2 linked regions of the Struthio camelus genome follow. The protein of the gene in region 1 interacts with the protein of each later gene in a pairwise test. Links are inferred from orthologs where the notes say so. Each region holds a gene or a part of one and is shown on either strand. Other genes may lie near its edges.

The links.
Region 2: the proteins of PRKCI (region 1) and PARD6B interact in binary tests that used the Homo sapiens proteins (3 or more experiments, as listed by UniProt). The link is inferred for Struthio camelus from reciprocal best matches to the Homo sapiens genes PRKCI and PARD6B.

What each region holds. Positions count from the first base shown.
Region 1 is NC_090950.1:27,955,827-27,965,004, forward strand, and holds the start of PRKCI (protein kinase C iota type), read right to left. Parts: upstream 4,167-9,178; 5' UTR 3,882-4,166; coding exon 3,760-3,881; intron 1-3,759.
Region 2 is NC_090959.1:10,319,428-10,328,952, forward strand, and holds the start of PARD6B (partitioning defective 6 homolog beta), read left to right. Parts: upstream 1-5,566; 5' UTR 5,567-5,733; coding exon 5,734-5,799; intron 5,800-9,525. UniProt on the Homo sapiens protein: Adapter protein involved in asymmetrical cell division and cell polarization processes. Probably involved in formation of epithelial tight junctions.

The sequences.
Region 1 (9,178 bases):
TGAGCACTCTCCTTCTCTCCTTTGTGCAATGCTATACCCAACAAACAAGGAAAGATAGTGGGCTGAAGAGTTACTTTTTGCTACATTGACTGCACTACACCGAGCACGCAACACAAAAAATAATATAAAGAAAGGCTGAAAGAGCGCATGCATGATTAAGAAATTAACTCCTTGGAAGCACCTATGGAGGTGTGTTTTGATTTTATCATTAACATTGAACTGTTCTTCCCCCTCCTTTCCCTGCTCACTTAAATGTATTAAAATTTTAGAAAAGCAAATTTAACATGTATCAGGAGATTTCTGCCAGTGGTATTTTTCATCTAAAATAAATCAAACTGTAGGTGGGCAAAGCATTGGTAACCTATGCCTTTAGCTATACTAAAAGTCTATCCTGAATTACAGCCTACGTAGTTCAGATAGGTTTAAAACCTATGTCAGTCACTGAAAGGAAGCAAGCTAGCACTTTTAACCATGACAGAAAAGAAGGTTCTTCAAGATTTATCAGCAGCATTAATTCTACAGAATTCATAGTGCACAAGCAGTGCTCTACTTATTCCTATAGCTGCTCTCAACCACTGCACTGCCATCCTCTTCTTACGTAATATTGACAGAATAGCTTTCTTGTACAGAACTGACCAAAATTATCTGCAAACAGACAAACAAATTAGAAGAGCCAGAAAGTAAACTTTGAACAAAAATTAGAACACTGAAATGCTTGTAACTACAGGAGCTGTTCAAGTACAGTATTTGAAACTGCTAAACTTGGTTACTGTATCAACAAAAATCTGAAGTATATGTAAACATTTGGTGTAAGAGAGCAAATTCCTAAGTGCTCACTCAGCAACCTCTATTACATATATCGCACAGAATATGATAATTCCTTCAAAGAGGTTACTTGCAGCATTTTAAACAACTAGTCCTATTAGGAAGGTAAGTGCAACTTACCTGAGAGAAGGAAATGCCAGGTAAATTCAGCTTATGCCCTAACTCCCAGGTCTCTGGGAATTGCCATACCCTTATTCCCATGATCTTTCTTCATTTTAGGAAAATTTTCTTTCCTGGTTTCACATGCTTCATGAATTTAAGATAAAGAATTTCTATTGAACACTAGAAGGAAACAAAGACCGTTCAAAGAGTTCTTCATGAAAGTCTTAACTGCAGCTGAGAAAAGCAATTAGGCTCCTAGCCAGACTAACCTATGTTACAGGGATTCAGAGCCAGCTCTTTGGTCTGAGTTAGTAAGAGTCATGTCTTGAGAACCAGGTGAGTAGCCTGACTGTCAGGTTACAAACTGTTTCAAGAATGGATCTATGCTTCCCAGTTGCTGTTTCGTTGTTGTTTGTTTGTTTTGTTTTGTTTGGACCAGAAATTCCTTCCAGGGGCTGAAAAGACCTTTGCAGTGAGACTTCCACAACTTTTACATCCCGTTTAAATGCTACTGTTGAAACAAATTAAAAGAGAGAGTAACCTTTTCTGATTAATACCATTCCCTGTAAAATCCTCTGTCCAACTCTAATCTCGAGATAGTTTAACAGATAAAAGGGAAAATGCTGCCTTTATATCAGGATTTAGGTCCTTTGTTCCCAAGTGATCTCAGACTAAGTGCAGGTAAAATGTTTTGCTCTGATATCCATTTCTTGACAGTGCTAGTCTGAGAAGTGGGCATAAGACCTTTTGTTTCAGGAAAGTAGAGAGATTAATTTGTTTAGATCTTGAAAGAAATTATGACTAAGGCATTCCAGCTTGTTTGTTTGTATTAACAATAGTTAACCAACTCCCTGCGTGACTCAGTTTCATTATTACATGTGAACTGACAATTACGTTAATAGATAAGAAGTCAGTGAACGAGATTCAAAAGAAACATTTCAGTGTCTGTGAAATTATTACCAAATATTTAAAATGCCATGAGCTAGCACTGCTGTCCAGTGTAGCGGTTTTATTCCTTACTCCCACAGCCCTGAACTGCTTTCTCTCTACTCCCGCACCATAGCCTCCCTGTGCTACAGCAAGCATTCGTGTGATTGCACAGGGAAACGATCAAGATTAAAACTGACCCAGCAGAAGAAAAATAGTTTTAACCCAGAACAGTTCCCACTTTAGTTCATTAGTGTCTAATCAAATGAACAGTTGTGCCAGTTAATAGCCAGAGGCATCTCCACTTCTTTAGGATGGTGGATTGCAATGACAGTAAAACAGCTGAGAATTTCCCATTTTATTACTCTGAAAACATTTCACAGGTATTTTCAAGTCACAGATTGTGCCAATCACTACGGCACTTTTATAGACCTTTGTCAAGAAAAGCCCTAGAACAGAAATAGGTCAGAAATTAATGTATTTACAAATACTAAATGCTCAGTGTGGTCCTTACACCTCTCATTAAAATTATACGGTTAGAGACATCAGATATTCACGTTACTAAATAGTAAATACTACAGATGTAATGACATTTTTCCTTTACTTCAATAGCAGCTTCCTTCCAATTATCAGTGAATGCGTCTCGAATCCAATCTCTATCCAAAAAAATGCAACCTACATTTTTTGTTTAGATCACTTGCCTCCGAACTTCTTGGCCCAAAGATCCACTGTCAAACCTGGCTGACCAACTTTTACATTTAGGTCCTGTAACCGTTATTTTTAACATGAGTTTGTCAATTCCGAGCAGAATACTTTCTCCGGCGTGATATACTGCTGTTGGAGAACCACTGACAGGGTTCAGATTTCCATTGTGCAGACCCCTAGCACTGGTTACAGTGGAAGCACGATTGACAGTGGATGCGTCTTAGTTACCATCCACCAACTCCCTCAGAAGTCAATCAGCCCCTGTGAAGCGCAGCCTGAAAATCAATGACCTAGGTTCTCAGCCAAGTACTACCCTCTTCCTTTGGATCTTGACCCTAAGCATATTTTCTAAGTATGATTTTTTACTCTCAGGAAAACGTTATCGAGTACTATGCTCTTATAACTAACAGCAGGCAAACGATAAGGTGGAATCAGAACGCATGGGAAGCCAAGGTGAGAAGAAGCATAGGGAAGAAGTAGTTATCTGGACACATCCTTATTTATGTTTAGTGGTATCGCAGGAAGACTGATATCTTGAGGCCGCTCAGTCCATATGGGTTCAGTTCATCACCTCTCCCCTGAATGCCTCATCCCACAGGCAGCTCGGTGAAATCTGACACCTTGAGGAGAGGCTCCACTGAGCACAAGCCCTGCCAGTTTCAGCTTAGTTCAGAACATCACTTGAAAGCCATTTTAATGCAGCTGTTTGGCAGCAAGCTTTCCTGTTTCTTTTTTTATCCCCCTTTTCCTCTCCAAGAACCGGGCATCTAGGATTCGACATTTTAACATTATCGGTAAACGCAGCGAAAACGCAATAATTAAAATATCACATTTTCATCACCACCATGGACAGAAACCTCAACCCGGTAAACTATTCCGAGAGATGAGGACGTGTACGCTTTATTGCGGTAACTGCGGGAAAAGCACGAATGTTCTCAAGCCGCTGCTCCCTGGGACCGCAGAGGAGCCTATGCCGTGCAGCCAAAACCATGCATACCAGCGCTATCGCTCCGCTTAGCCCCGAGATAAAGAGTTTCCTTTAAACTTCGAGCCAAGCAGCGAGCGGGGCCGCGCCCCCCCCCCCCCCCCCGCCGCCGCCGCCGCCGCCGCGGCGCCGCGGAGGGAAAGGGCAGCGCGGCGCCGCCGGGCCGAGCCGGGAGCCGCGGCGGAAAGCTGCCCGCGGGCGCGGCCGCCACTCACCCCTTGTAGTAGGCTTTCACGCGGACCTGGTGGGCGCTGTCGCCGCCGAGGCCGCCCCCTCCGCCGGCGGGACCCGAGTGGGACATGGTGCCGTTGCCGCCGCCGTCCCGCTGCGTCGGCATCCCCCCGCGGCGGCAGGCGGGCGGGCGGCGGCCGGGCGACTCCGCGGCTCTCCGCCGCGCCCCGGCCCCGCTCCGCTCTGCGGGGCCTCGCGGGCGGGGGCAGGGAGGAGAAGCCGGCAGCGGAGCCGCGGCTCAGGCCGATCGCCCGCGGCGGGAGAGCCGGGCGCTGCCCGCCCCCCTCATGCTCGTGCTCCGTGGGCTCGTCCCCGCCCCGCGGGGCGGCCCACGCGGCGGCGGCGAGAAGGCGGGGCGGGGTACGGAGAGCCGCGGGGGCCACTCGCCTGCGCCCTGCGCTGGGGCGGGGCGGGGCGGAGGGGGGAGGGACGGCAGCAGCGTCTCCCCGGCCGCTTGGTACGGCCTGGGCGTGCCGCCGCAGGGGCTGCCGGGACTGCCGGCCCCCGCCGCCGCCGCCGCGTCTGCGCCTGCGCGCCGGGCGCCGGCCAGCGGCAAACACGGCGGCGGGGTGCGGCTTACCGGGGGCTGCCGGGCTTTGGGCCGTTTCTTCTCGTATGACTTTGACAGCGGCTTGCTCCACGTTTGGCACAGCTTGACCACAGCCGCGGCTCCGCCTGTAAAAGGAGGAAGAGGAAGAAAACTTGTAATTTCACTTCCTTACCGATAGGGCTTCTCCCTCTTTCAAGGCTTAAGAGAGTCAGAAATACCTGCGGTACTACCCTGGCGCTCCTAAAACGTCGGGAGCTTAATACTGAGCGTAATCTAGAACTAACCTCTGTTTTGTTCTGTTGTAGTAAAAACACTTATTTTTTTCCACTGCTGCCTCCATGCTCCGAACAGCATCGTGCCTGGCTGTTTTGTTTCAGAGCAGCATGAAGTTTAGCTTTTCCAGGTTCACTTACAGGCTCCTATGTAAGATACGCACCTTCTGATCAGCCTGCGTCACAGTTTCTCATCTTGGTGGTAAAGTAACTCAGGCCATATTGGCTATCTTCCTTAAGTACACAGTACAGAAACTTTTTCATGACACCTAACCTGCCCGTAGCATTTGTTTTTTTCCTCAGAAGGTCATTTGCTCCAAGTCTTACATCCTTTTCTTACAACTGGAAATACCCTGCCGTATCTGAACTCATGAACCCCTTGCTCAGCACTTCCAACGTTTCATCATTTTTCTTGCAGCATCTGTGGACTATTCCTGCATGAGTCTTCATTTTCCCTACAACTCTCTTTTTCAACCTATGATAATTCCAGTTTTCTTGTACTGGATCATCTTGTGGTGTCTTTACAGAAACCAGACCTCCTCATCTGACCAGGGATCAGTATCACTACTCATCACTGGCAGTTTACCTGTAGCCAGTCTGACTGCTTCACCCTCTGACAGTCTGAGCTTGTCTATGATGCTTGGGAAAGTGTTTGCGTTTTGTGAGATGCTTGCTGAGGTCCTTTTTCTTTGCCAAGTACGTACTTATCCCAACTGGCAGCTAAACATCTGGCAATTTTTTTTTCTTTTGTGTCCAACTCCCAGTTGGTCAAAACTGTGCTGAGGAAACAGCAATTTAGTTGCAGAAAAACATATTGCTGAGCTCTATTCAGCTATTTGATCCTATTATTGTTCAGTTTTTCATCAAGTTTTTAACTAATTCTCATCTTTGTTCACACCCTTGGTTCTGTGTCAGTACCCACGGATGAAACAATTTCTGCCAAGATTACTAATGAATCAGAAATGAGCGATGGCGCAGTCTTCTATTGTGGTGGGCCCGGGAGTTAAAGAATAGCCTACTGGCATTCCTACCAATTTTGTCAAAGAATAAAATAACTAGATAGCATGAGGAGAAGATTCCTGTTTGTAGAAGCTTCTGGCACTGAAGCATTTCAGTCCACCAGCAGATGACACTCAAGGATTTGGCAGCGTCCTCAAAGCTAGTAAAAAAAAAAAACCCAAAATAAAAAACCGGACCTAGCTGTGGTTCCTTAGCCAGTGTCTGCCAATCCTGCTAGAAAATATCTGGTGGGTTATAACTATGTTGAGCATTTTCCAAACGCTACAATAGAGAATTCTCCCTCTGTTAACTGGGGAGCTGAAATGTTGCTTTTATTTTAAAACCCAGAGGACGGTATACAAAATCTTTTTCCAGAACCAACTTTAGAGAGAATCTTTGTCCCCATCAGCCATAGTCTTTATCCCTAAAGGTAGACCGTTATTGCTCACCACCTCTCAACCTTGATGATCTAAGTACAGTCAGCTGATTTTGGCAGAATCTCACTTCTCTCTCCAAAAAGGGCCATGGAAGAGGGGGCAGAGTCCACTTTGAACTATGAAGACTTTTCCATTACATAGACAGTGTGCCATGTCTTGTCACACAGATCTAAGAGAGCATAAAGGGAACAAAAGCAACATTGTAAACACTGGTATACCCGAAGGCTGTGTGTAACGTTCCTTATGTACTTCTACGATCTGGAAGGCGTTTCTTCATCACAGCAAGACATTTCATGAAGAGGAGAGGGAGAGGTGCTGAATGAGTTTGTCAAGATGTCCCCTGTGAGATTCGAATTAGGCATTACCTGGTGAGGTGACTACTTATCTGTAAGGAGGCTGGGCTTTGCCTCATCTATGCTAGATAACAGGCAGCAACTACTGTCTACAGATGGGAGTTAATGATGTAATTCAGCTCTTATCAATCATGGTCACTTTAGAGGGAGAGATGGTCTTGGGGGGAAAAAAAAATCCCTACAGCAGGGAAAGGCTCTGAGCCAGTGTTTCATAGGAAGGGACTGAAAGCTAGAGGGCTAAAAGACCCTTCGTTTTGTGTTCCTCAGACAAGTCAGAAGTTCACCACCAACGTGGTGCGACTGCTGAAAAGCAGCTGAAGCCCCAGAGCCATCGGCATGGAAAAGCACTGAGGGCAACCACTCTCCGAACCGCAACCTGCCGAAAGCGCTCTCAGAGCGATGCGCGTACCCTCCTTCCTTTTTCTAGTACAGCTGGGGACTCAAACGAGCAAAACCTACTGGTGCCAGCCCCCGGCCGTACCTAGCTCAGCTCTGCCACAGCGAAGCTAAAACGCTCCTGCCCGCTGCGCGGAGAGGCTGCGACGCCCATCGCCACAGCCACCGCGGGCAGGGAGGGAGGCCGGGCCCTTCTGCCCCAGCCGGGCCGCTGCTCCCTGCCTCCGCCTTCCCTCTCCAGCACAGAAGCTACCGAGAGGGGCGCGACGACACGGCCGCAAAGCGGGTCCCTACCACGGCCCGAAAACGTCGCCCGCCGGCAACATGGCGGCGCGCGGGTCACGTGCCCGGCGGCGGCGGCGGCGGCGGCGCCCAGCGCGCCTGCGCAGCGCCTCCCCGTGAGGGAGGTGAGAAGATGGCGGAAGCGGAGTGAGCGGCCCGTCCGAGGCGAGTCTCCCGGCGGGACGCGCGGAGGAGGGGGAAGCGCGGCCAAGGCCGCGGCGGGGCGGGGCGGGGCGCGTAGGCGGGGACCCGCGCCCTGACAGCGCCCCGACCTCAGCCGGCCCCGCGCGGGGAACCGGCCGCCTCTCCGCCTCCCCGCCCGGGGCAGCGCGGCCCGGCGGGGAGCGGCGCTGCGCGGCCCTCGGAGCGGCCCGGCCCGGCCCGCGGCATCGCCCGTGCCCGAGGGCCGGCCCGGCCCGGCCCGGAGCCGCCGGCTGCGGCCGGGTGGCGCCTCGACGCCGCTTCGCCGAGCGGCCGCGTCGTGTGGCGCGGCCGGGGCTGGGGCTGGCGCGGAGCGCGGCTTTGGTTCCCCTTTTCTACCCCAAAAGAAAAGCTAAAGCGAGCCTTGGGCGGTGTTAGCACGTATGGACCTGGCGGGGAGGAAAAGGGGCGGGGGGGGGGGGGTTGGTGCTCTGTCTTCCTCGTGCACGAAAAACCCACCTGGGATTTAGTTTGGGAGAAAAAAGTCTTTTTTTTTTTTTTTTTTTAAATCATGTTCTCTTGCAATTGTAAGGAGCGGCGATGAGTTGAGTGGATATGTACGTGAAAAATGAAGGACTCTGTTTTCGTGTGTCTTGGTTGCTGAAGAGCAACAGTGTTCCTCTTTGCTACCTCACTTACTAAAAATCAAGCTTTCCAAAATACAAAAATGGCTAGTGGCATGAGTATATGCTGTCATTGCAGCTTAAGGCTATTGGTGTGGGATAATTTTTTGACCTTTCTCTGGATATGTGCTTCGACCCAGAACTATTATTTACGTCTCGATATATAAACAAAACAAAACTTCTCACTGTTTGCGTTACGCGTGCTGTAAACTATGCAGTGTCCCATACTGTCACTCCTTTAAATAAATACTTCTTTTCAGAGTAGTTTTTTTGTTCTGTTTTGTTTTTCAATGTCACTTTTGAAAGCGTAGTGGTCGTTTAAAGTTAGAGTTAGTTGCTGCATTTTCTAAAAGTTACTCGAGCGTTGGAGGGGACCTTTTGAGTTAAAGTGAGCCGCTCACAGGCGGTGTCATCACACAAGCCTACTCATGCATTTTTCAAATTTAACTTTGCTACGGGTTAGGCGCTTTGGCTCTTTAATTTTGTAGCGTCCTTGCACAATTTCAGAATCTTGCTTATGTCTCAGCAAGAGCTAGGCATGATTTCTTTATATTTAGAAGTGGTCTCTGCATATACAGGGCTGTGAGGCAGATGAAAGTAATGCTATAAAAGCAGTCTGACTTTAACTCTGTATTTTTTTAACACTTTTGACAGAGATTTATCTGCCAAGTTATTAATGGATTCTTGGTTTTCTTGCTAAAAAAGGCACGTTTTATTTATTTCCCATTATCCTTAAACCAATCCCTGCTCCCTTACAGTGAAGAGAGGTTTCAAACAAGTGTCACTTCAGCCTACAGAGGGCCTGGTGTTTATGCACGTTGGTGCTGAACACTGCAGCTGGACCTCAGGGTGGCCAAGCAAGGATCAAGTATCACCTCTAACTGATACTGGGTCAAACGTGCTAATAGAGGAGGACTGGAGCTGCAGCTCAGTGCCAGGCTGTGCTGAACGAGAGTTCAGGGGCTCGCTCCTGTTTGATTTTCTTCATATAGCCATTGCATGAATAACTTGGACAATAATAAAATTATTTTTGAAAATATGATGAGACACCTTAAGCTAAAGGATTGACTGCGAGCATGGGGCAGTAGTGAACTTTGGTGGAATAGCTGGTAGAGTGGAATGCATTGCACACCTTGCTGATAGTAGATCTTAAATATGTATGTAAGAGCTATGGAAATAAAACACTTAGTGTTGTTTTTTTTAGAGTAATTGAGTTGGTTGCATAACATTGCTAAAACTAGCTAGACAAGTTTTAGGTGTAAATATTTTGATGTATGCTTAATGGCCTCT
Region 2 (9,525 bases), on another chromosome or scaffold:
GCCTTTACTTCCCTTTCTTCAAGTATTTCTATCAAAGCACTTTTAGTTCGACTCAGCAGTAGGGCCAACTTTGCAGACACTCATTTGTTTCTAGTAATTCTGGAAGAAACCAGACAGAAGAACAGGCTAGCACAAGAAAAGGCAGTTAAATTCAGGATTTCTAAAGGAGTATCTGTGGCGTTACGGGACAGGAGAGACTTGCTTAGAATAGTGATATACAAACTCACTACTAAGGGATGTCAAAATTAGATAGTGACAAGCAATGCAGTGCTTGAATATCACATCCTGCAGAAGCAGAGGACACAGAGACAACACATGCCAATCCAGTTGTGAAGCACGGTATTGTGTAACAGTAGGTGGACGATTATAAAAGATTAAACAGTTAGGATCTGTAGTAGCTAGTTCACTTTAAAGCTCAAATGTTATCCTTCTTTGATAGGAAATCAATTTTAACAACTGATGAAGCCAAATACTTTCCTTTATAAAAACACTGTATGGTCACAAATAATTTTAAGATGTATCAGTGCAATTCAATAAAAAAAAGGTTCCTTTGTAGCAGAAGGCATAAGCACTCATTATTCAACAGATGGCACTTAATGTGTTACTTATTCTAGGTTACAGACACTATCAGAGGATACTACTTCTACACACAAATAGTGATAACATGCAAGGTACTTTCCAGACAAGCTTAAAAGCAAAGTCTTTATTCTCAAAAAATAAAATTCTGAACTGCAGCAGTGTGCAACTTAAAAGAAAATTCTGAGCAATTACTCCTTTGATCTATCATAATTTTTCCAAATTATAGATCTGGAATACTCCCTGAGTAACGGAAAGATAAGAAACTGATGTTCACAAATCACTTTGAGGAAAGGAACTCTGAAGTGCTATCTATAAACCTTTATAGCTCTAACATAGGTGATGTTTTCTTTAGAACACTTTAGCCATAAGAGGTAAGTCATTAAGGTGTACACATGCGTGCAAAGCGTGAGATGTCAGCTGTGATTAGTACTACTGTGTTTAATTAATGACAGAGTTTCAAACTGATCCAGAGTCATTGAATAGAAATGAAGGAGTACTAGATGAATGAGAAGAAAAAGCTTTAAAAGCCTGTAATTTTATTTAGAAAACTCAGTACAAATCAGTATATCCGTGTGAACTTTTGACTTGTTAGGCAAGCAGTTTCAGAATTTTATCACCACAGCAGCAGCCTCCACACAAGAATAATCATAGAAATATACTACAGATCACCTATTGGTGGGACAAGCAACATACTTACAAAAATACATCCTCTGGAAAAGGCCTGATGTTAGAGCTAATTGAAAGTCAGAATTTCAATTCAGAATAAAAAGCGGAAATTTCTGCAGAGGTAAGAAAATTTGAAATAATTCACAAATTTTTCTTACCTACTAAAAAAATAACCCCACAAAAGTACACCCTGAGGATTTCCTCAGCAGTTGATCCTGAAGCCAGAAGCATCAAGACTTTTCCTTTGAGGACTCAGAAGCCTAACCCTGGAGTCCTAAACAGGGCTGGCTTTCACAGTGCTTCCATGTTTGTGACAGTCACAGTTCTGCAACAAGAAGCATGACAGCTTTGGTGTCCCCGGCTCTTACAGTACATTACTGTTAGTCACCCCTTTCCACCTGCACACGTCTTCCTGATTTTGAGTAGATTCCTAGATAACTTTAATTAGCAGGAATATTTGTGAGAATAAGTTTAAATGTTTTTGAAAAATTGGATCTAGATTGGATGTAGCATGGAAGTAGCACACCATAAACAAATATTTATTTGACAGCATGATATAAAGACAGCTTTTCACATAAAGCCAGATGAAACAAAATAAAGTATTCACGGAAAAAAAAAAAAAACCCACAACCCTAGAAAACTAGAAATAGTTATTGAAAAAGATTTCATACATGTACTTTAAAAATAATCAATCCATTTTGTCACTGAAAGAAGTTAATTGTTTTGCTGACAGACAAAAAAGAAAGCAGAGACAGAATTGGAATACAAATTCTTGCATCCTAACTCTGGTTATTCTTCTGGTCCATGCTATCTTTAGCAGGTGAAGTAACAGTAGTTCTTCAATAGACAATTTAAATATTCTGTCATATCTATTTACTGAGCAAAAAAAATAATTTGAAGTGTACATTCATTTGGACTCGCATGCTCCCAGCATGTTAGAGGTAGGTATTTAAAACTAGGTTCTTTACACAGTTTACATAGTTCTTTAATTTTTTTTTTAGATACACAACCATTCCTCAAGCTTTCCCAGGTAGTTGTTCCCCCCCCCCCCCCCCCCCAAAAAAAAGAAAAAAGAAAAAAGATGAAATCTAGCCAGAAAAGGAGAAGCAGTCCTTTGCCAGAGGGCATTTTTGAGCTGCACTTAGTATACTTGTACCTGTACAGCTGCTACATTGTCGGTATGATTGTACTGTACTGCTATTTTCTGTACAGGAAAAACAATGTACTTTTATTTCACTACTTCCATGCTAAGAGTCATATTTTATAACTGTACAGCAGAAAATCAAATTCATCTATTAATAAAACAACGGTTGAAAATTTTGGGGAGCCAGTTTTGGTTCTGTTAAAAAAAAAAACACACACACACATATTTCCACAATTGTCATGATTCCAGGGTAAGAAGATCAGTTTTTATTACACACCTTTGTTATTTAAATATTACTATTATTAATAAATATGCTAAAATGCCATGTAATAAGGTCTACATGATAAGCTTTGCTCCAGTGTCTATATTTGCTGTAGGCATAAACAGTATTTAATGGAGATAAAATATAAAGCTACCCTTCTCAAATTCTTTCAATCTAATGCAACATTTGCAAATTCAGATATCCTGCTCAGGGGTCACAAGTACCAGCACAAAGTACTTACTTTTATTTACATGGCTACCTATAAATAGTGCTTTGTAATATTATTTGCATTTGTGACCCTCAGCTATCTCTAAGACAAAAACGGTCTCTACTCTTCACTGATTAAGGGCAAGGGAAAAGGCAAGGGACTGTGATTTGAGGTCACATATGTCACTGGTACTCTGAAAAATGCAGGGTATATACTTTTCCTGAAAACTCCTCTCTTTGTAGGGAAAAAGAACTAGTATGCAATAGACTGATCTATCAAAATTGTAACACTTTAAGTTAAATGTAAGAACAACATAAGCCCTAAATTATACAACAAAAGTTTTGGTGGGTTATCAGTATCAGTCAACATACACTGGCAGGCATTTTCTGTGTTTTATTCTTGGAAGCAATCCTTCAGCTCCTCGGAGGGCTATATTTCATATTCTATTTAAAAAGTAGGAAGTCTTGAGATGGGAAAGATGCATTACAGCAAAATCTCACTTATACTGCATGGTAGTCTTAGTGATCTAATTTCCACACCAAAACAAACTAAGAAAAAAAAAGCCCTCTCCAAAAACTTCCCCAACTACCACAGATTAGGAAACCCAACCTGTCTTTCAACTTCACAAAAGCTGAAACTGAACATGCCATGAATACTTGATCAGGTCTGAATCACAGGTTTTAGAGAGCTTGTGACTAAAATAGCTCTACAAACTTGTGCTACTCCTGGCACAAAAAGCCTGCCTTTCTCCTACCTTTATCAGAAATCAAGTTGTTTATCACATTCCTTCCTCATTTATCAGTTCCTTGTGATGAAAGCAACTCAGTGATTAATACTTTTTATTACGTTGGTTCCAGTGACTTGAAATGAATTTGCCCTGACTCTTTAAGCATGCTACCACACCCACTGCATGGAACTCAAGCAATTCTAGGAATGCAAGACAGAAAACAAATCTTAGGCTATAGCCCATAAATCTATAGCCATAAAGCCAACTGTATGATGGCTTCAAGCACAACACTTCTTCAGGAGGTGTTTTTTTTTTTTTTTTCCTAAAGAAAAAGGCAAATCAACTGCTTTAGAAAACCTGGAGAAGGCACTGTTCTCTTCTGTCTTGCACTCTTCTCTGCGCTTTCCTACAGCTCATTAAGCAAAGTCGGCTGTAGAAGGCAGAAATGGAAAGTAGTCCAAAATCTTTTCAGTTTTGCTAACTACCTAACTACAAAGTGACAAAATAAGAGGTTTTATCTGTATCTTGCTCACATAGCTGCAATCTACTGTCTTCTGTTTACCACAGCATCATAGATTTTATGTAAATTTAGGGACTGAATTCTCTATATAACATTTTGCCGGTGTAAACACAGAACAGACTGCGTAAAGGACACAGAACAGACTGCGTAAAGGACGTGAAGATGTGAACTTGCCCAGACACTGACTGACAGCAAACTATACTTAACAATTAACAATATCCTCTGTACTAATTAGCGCTTGTCTTGGCTTGAGTGATAGTTGCAATTTCTTTGCCTTTGGCATGACGGCAGTAAGACTGGCTGTCCAAAACAGCACCGACTTGAAAGTGATTAAGCACTGCATGTTCTTAAAAACTACTGATTACCAACTGAGACTTGTGAACTGACTAGACACTCATACCCTGCCTTAACTGCAAAGGGCTGTTTGTCTGCACTCCCTTCACAGCATCCTACATAAAGCCTACATGAGGACGCCTCAAACTGAGTTCTTTTCTACTAGGTTTACAGATTAGGAAGCAATCTGTATTTAGAAGGTATGCTGACATAAGTAGGTTGATCCATGGGCCTTCTTCCTACTAACACATGTAAAATTGTACTAGTAAGGAGTCCTTTTTCTTCAGATTGTAAGGCGTAAACTAATGAGGTTTCTCAGTCCCCCTGCCAGAGTACTGAAGTAGGGGCTTTGAACTGAAGTAACTGCTCTATCTCGGGATTATACCAATATGCAAGGTTACATAAAACAGTCGTTCTGGTTCATATTGCCAGATGCTGAAATATTACTTGCAGTTGAAACAAAAACACGAACTCCAACTTCTCTATGGCACGAATGGACTTTACAGAGGTACCCAGAGGGTAAGAGTTCAAACTTTTGGACTGGTCTAGACATAGTTTAGGTAATCTACAGACAAATAATCTAACAGAGGCGCACTTCGCCTTAAGTGCCCAGAATCCGCCTCGACGCCCGCTGCCCCGCGGGCGCCCTGGCCGGCAGCCGGCGGCGCCGCGACGCTGAGGCGTCTGAGGGGACGGAGGGCCGCGCTCCAGCCGCCGCGGCCCCGCGCTGACACACCAGCGCAAAGGTCGCTCGGCCAGATCCCACACCTGAGAAGGCCTTAGGTCATTAGAGATAGGAGGAAAAAATAAATAAATAACCCCTCCCCACACTTCCTCATACGGACAGCGCCTCACCCTCGCGCGGGCGCCGTGCACGCGTCCTCCATTTTGGAACCCGGACCAAGCGGGCGCAGGTGCGCCACCCCGCTGCCCGGGTGGCGACTGCGCATGCTCGCCAGCGGCAGGTGCGCCGCCCCGCCCTCCCGCCGCCTGCGCCCCGCCCTGCCGCGCAGGCGCCGCGCGCTCTGAGCCGCCCCGCCCCCTGCCTGGCCGCCGGCTCGGCGGCGCGGCAGGTGCCCGCAGCCGCCGTGGCTCCGCCCCCTCCCCCTCCCCTCCCCCCCTCCCCCGGCGGCGCTGTGAGGGCGGCGGCAGGAGGTGGCGGAGCGGCCGCGGGGTGCCGGGGGCGGCTGGCGTCGGGCCCGCGCCGCTCGCCCTTCTGCCTCGCTGCCTTTCCCACCGCCCGCGCGGGGGCTGCGGCGAGAGAGCGGAGCCGGGACAGCGACCCCGCGGCGGCATGAACCGGCCTCACCGCGGCGCCGCGGGCAGCCGGGGCCTCGGCACCATGGAGGTGAAGAGTAAGGTGGGTCCGGCCGCGGCGGCGGCGGAGGGCCGCGTCCGCCGGCGGCGCCGGGGAGAGGGCCCGGCCCGGCCCTGCGGGGCCGCCGTGGAGGAGGGCGGCGGGGCCGCAGAGCTGCTGACTCACCTGCTGGCGGGGGCGACGGCCCGCGGCCGCTCGAGCGCTCCGGGCGGCGGCGGCGGCGTGTCTCTTCCCCCCCCCCCCCCCCCCCCCCGGCAGCCTGCCCGTCCCGGCCGCCCCCCCCCCCGCCCCGGGTCGCTGCCGTGCGGCTCCGGCGGTGGAAGTTTCCTTGTGGCACCGCTCACCGGGTGCGCTGTCTGCGGGGGGGGAAAACTAGTATTTTTATGTGTGTGGGGGGGTGTTTTTAATTTTCATTTAAAAAGCTTGTGGTTTTGGTCCCTTAGTTTCTGCGTTGGTTAAAATACCGTCTAGAGAAGTGGATGGTTTGGGAAAGTTTGGGGGATACCAGGGGACATGTTTTAGAGTCATGATTCATGAACTCCAAAACCTGTTCTTGGTCTAAATGAGGAAAGGAGTGGTTTTGGTTAACTTTAACTATGTGTTTACGTACCTTTCTTAAAGTGGGCTAGAGCTCGCTATATAGCTTGCATTACTTGGTGCAGGTAAGCCACAGCTAACTTATCTTAAACAAACTTGCTTTTCTTTGAAGACTTTCCAAGGTCTTCATAATGGCAATTTTTTAAATGAGCAAATATATCTGTATGTTACCGCTCATAGCAAAAGTTTTTTTTGTTGTCAAAGCTGTGCACAATTCCACCAACCATCTTCTATTGATGTATCCACATCCATTTTTTTTCTACTGTTTCTTCTTAATGCAGATTAGGCATAGTTTTGTTGGAAAAACTTTAAATTTTTGAGAGGCAGTACATTATCTTTTGATTTATATTTCTGATGTTTTGTTGGCTTGTCATTCAGCTGTTATCAATTGTAGGGGTGTTGGATCTGTGGTATTAGTTGGTGTGTCATTAGTTAAATGAACGCATGTAACTTGAGTTAAAAACACTTTCTCTTTGTCTAGGCAGACTGTAAGTGCACCTATACAGAAATGTGTTTTCCTCCATTGGTACAAAACATATCTGTTGTTCAGATTTTATAAGTGGTCTACAGTTTGCTGTTGGAGCGTTAGAGCTGCAGTATGTGCGTAGCAGACAGGACTGAAGTTGTTGTGTGGGCTTTTGTTGTTAAGGATAATGTGACTGTGCTGAAGTTTCTCCTGGAAAACAGCTAGGTTGCATAGGTAATAGTGATTTTTAGGAGAAAAAAAAAAAAGTGGACTTAACCTTTAAGTGGACAAAATCAAAACGCACAGGAATACCTGGTAGCCCTGATTCCAAATGGTAGCGAAGCACAGCTGTGGCTCTGATTGGCGAAATCTCTTTCATTTATGCACTTTTAAGGTTGAGAACAGCCAGAACAATGTGTTTATGAGCAAAGTACTTACTGCCTCAGCGCAGAACTCTAGGCCTGTTGGTTCCTCTGTCATGTATTTTGCTTGATTAAGAATGGGATGAAAGTTTCTAGGAATCAGCTGAGATGCATTCTTTGTTATTTGTGTAGAAAAATGTAGAGGTTCTAATGAATAGGGACTGTCTCTTAAGTGCATATCATAAAGTGAGTTCCAAGGCATTCCTAGAATTACTTGTCACTAATGGATTATTTAAAGTGCATTGATTTAATATACCGTAGACGTCATCTCCCTTTTATGAGAGTAAGAAGAATTCTGAGAGAGGAAGAAGAAAGGAGTGTGTGGGAGGTGAAGTGGAGCGTTACTGTGGAGTGGTCTAGGCTTTGAAGGCTTATCAGCGATGCACAGGTCTTGATTATTGATTTGGAGTATCTCAATAATGCCCCAACTGACAAACTATGCCAACATACCCCAATTGTATTTGCAGTTGTATGAGCAAAATCTTTTTGTTAGTCAATTTTATTCGATTTAGGTAACTGATCTGAACTTGCCTTGGGGAATCTCCATAATATATTTATTCCAGTTAACCCTTTCTCTAATCTTAGACAAGTAAGTTTTATACCCCAACCTAGAGTTTTTGGTGATGGTATGAAAGTCCCAACATAAACTTTTGTTATGGTTTTTGTCTTCTCTCTCTATGTTCTGTTTTAGAATTATGTTCTTTGCAGAATGAAATCTAATATGCTGATAAAAGAGGCCGTGTATGGTTGCTGTAGTTCATGTCCTATTACTATAGCAGTCTGCTGGAGGCTGCTGTCATAGTATGGTGGCAATATGATATGTTATGAGATGAGGCATCTTTGTCCTCTGTAAGAAAATGTATTTTGTTTAAGAAAGACCATAATATATTGAGTAAGCATCTCTAGTAACTTCTTAGTATGTTTACATGGCTTTTGCTGCGTTTTCTCAGATGAGTTACTAGTGAGACATCCTGTGTGTGTAAAGAGCTCAAGTGACAAGTAGCCCTCTCAATTTAGTCTCCCAGTCTCTCCTCTCATTATAACTCCTTCTGAGTTGTTAATGCTAGTGCAGGCTGTTTAATGGCATGGAGTGTAACAATTTATATTAAATGAAAACGTTTCAGTGAGATAAAATAAACTGATGACGGAATTGCATGGTTTTACTTTGTCTCTTTTGTCTGCTTTGTCATAGTATTGAGCATGTTACAAATAGGAATTATGGCCAGATTATTAGTCTCTTGGTATTTGCACCAACTGTTTATAGAATTCTTATTTATCATGTGTTTTATAAAATGCGCGTTTGTGAAAATTGATTCTTTGCCTGCTGCAGCAGCATAGCAGTTGCTCCAAATAGTGTTCTTCTGTTTGTTTGTTTGTTTTTTTTTTAGCACATTACTTAATTGTACTTAAACGGTGTAGTCTTTCAAATCAAAACAATTGAAGTAGATGCAATGAATGGAAAAATCCTGTGGTATTCAAGCTTCAAATGGCTGAAGAAAGACTTAAGAGACAGGATAAGTTCTTACATTGATGTCATAGTTAAGTGTGCTGCTTTTGACCTGAAGGGAGTTCCTCCTGCAGATTTTTTACTTTTGTTACAAGCAGGAATGAATCCTCCCTCCTGCCTTATTGTTAGTTAATGTTACTGTAATTAGAGTATCTATACAAGAGGGATGTTTACAAAGAATTCCCTTATTTAAAAGCTTTGGAGAAAGGTGGAGTGTTGAAGTGCAGAAGGTGTATTTGGGTTGTCTTGTTGTGCTGTATTTGAGTTAGCTCGGTGCTAATGTGCTCACAGTAGGGTCTCCTTATTTTCCTTCCTTTGTATGTCAGAATTCTAAGCCTTTTATTCTCCAAAAGGCTGTAATCAAACAGGAGGAGCTTGGTTTGGAGGCCTGGTAATGTGCTCCTTCACATCTGCCAGTGTAACATACACCCAAGTGTCTGATACTGATGCTCAGACTTTCAGTCAGTGAGTACTGTTGCTGATTGCCTCCTTTATTTTTCTCTTTGGGTAAGAGCAGAAGTGACTTAAGGCTTGGGAGGATGCAAATGCCTCTCTCAAGCTCACTAAAGTTTTACTGCACTTGGTTAGTACTAAAAGCCAGCAGTCATTCTTTGTATTCTTCAGGTCAAAATGGCTTTTTATTTCTGGTCTGAACAACTAGGGATTTGCAAACTACTAAAGAGTCAGGCATATATTACGTGACACTGTAAAGTGCTCTTGAATTTCTTTGAAAAAGTTCCAGGTAGTCACATATTCTGCAAAGTTAAGCATACTCT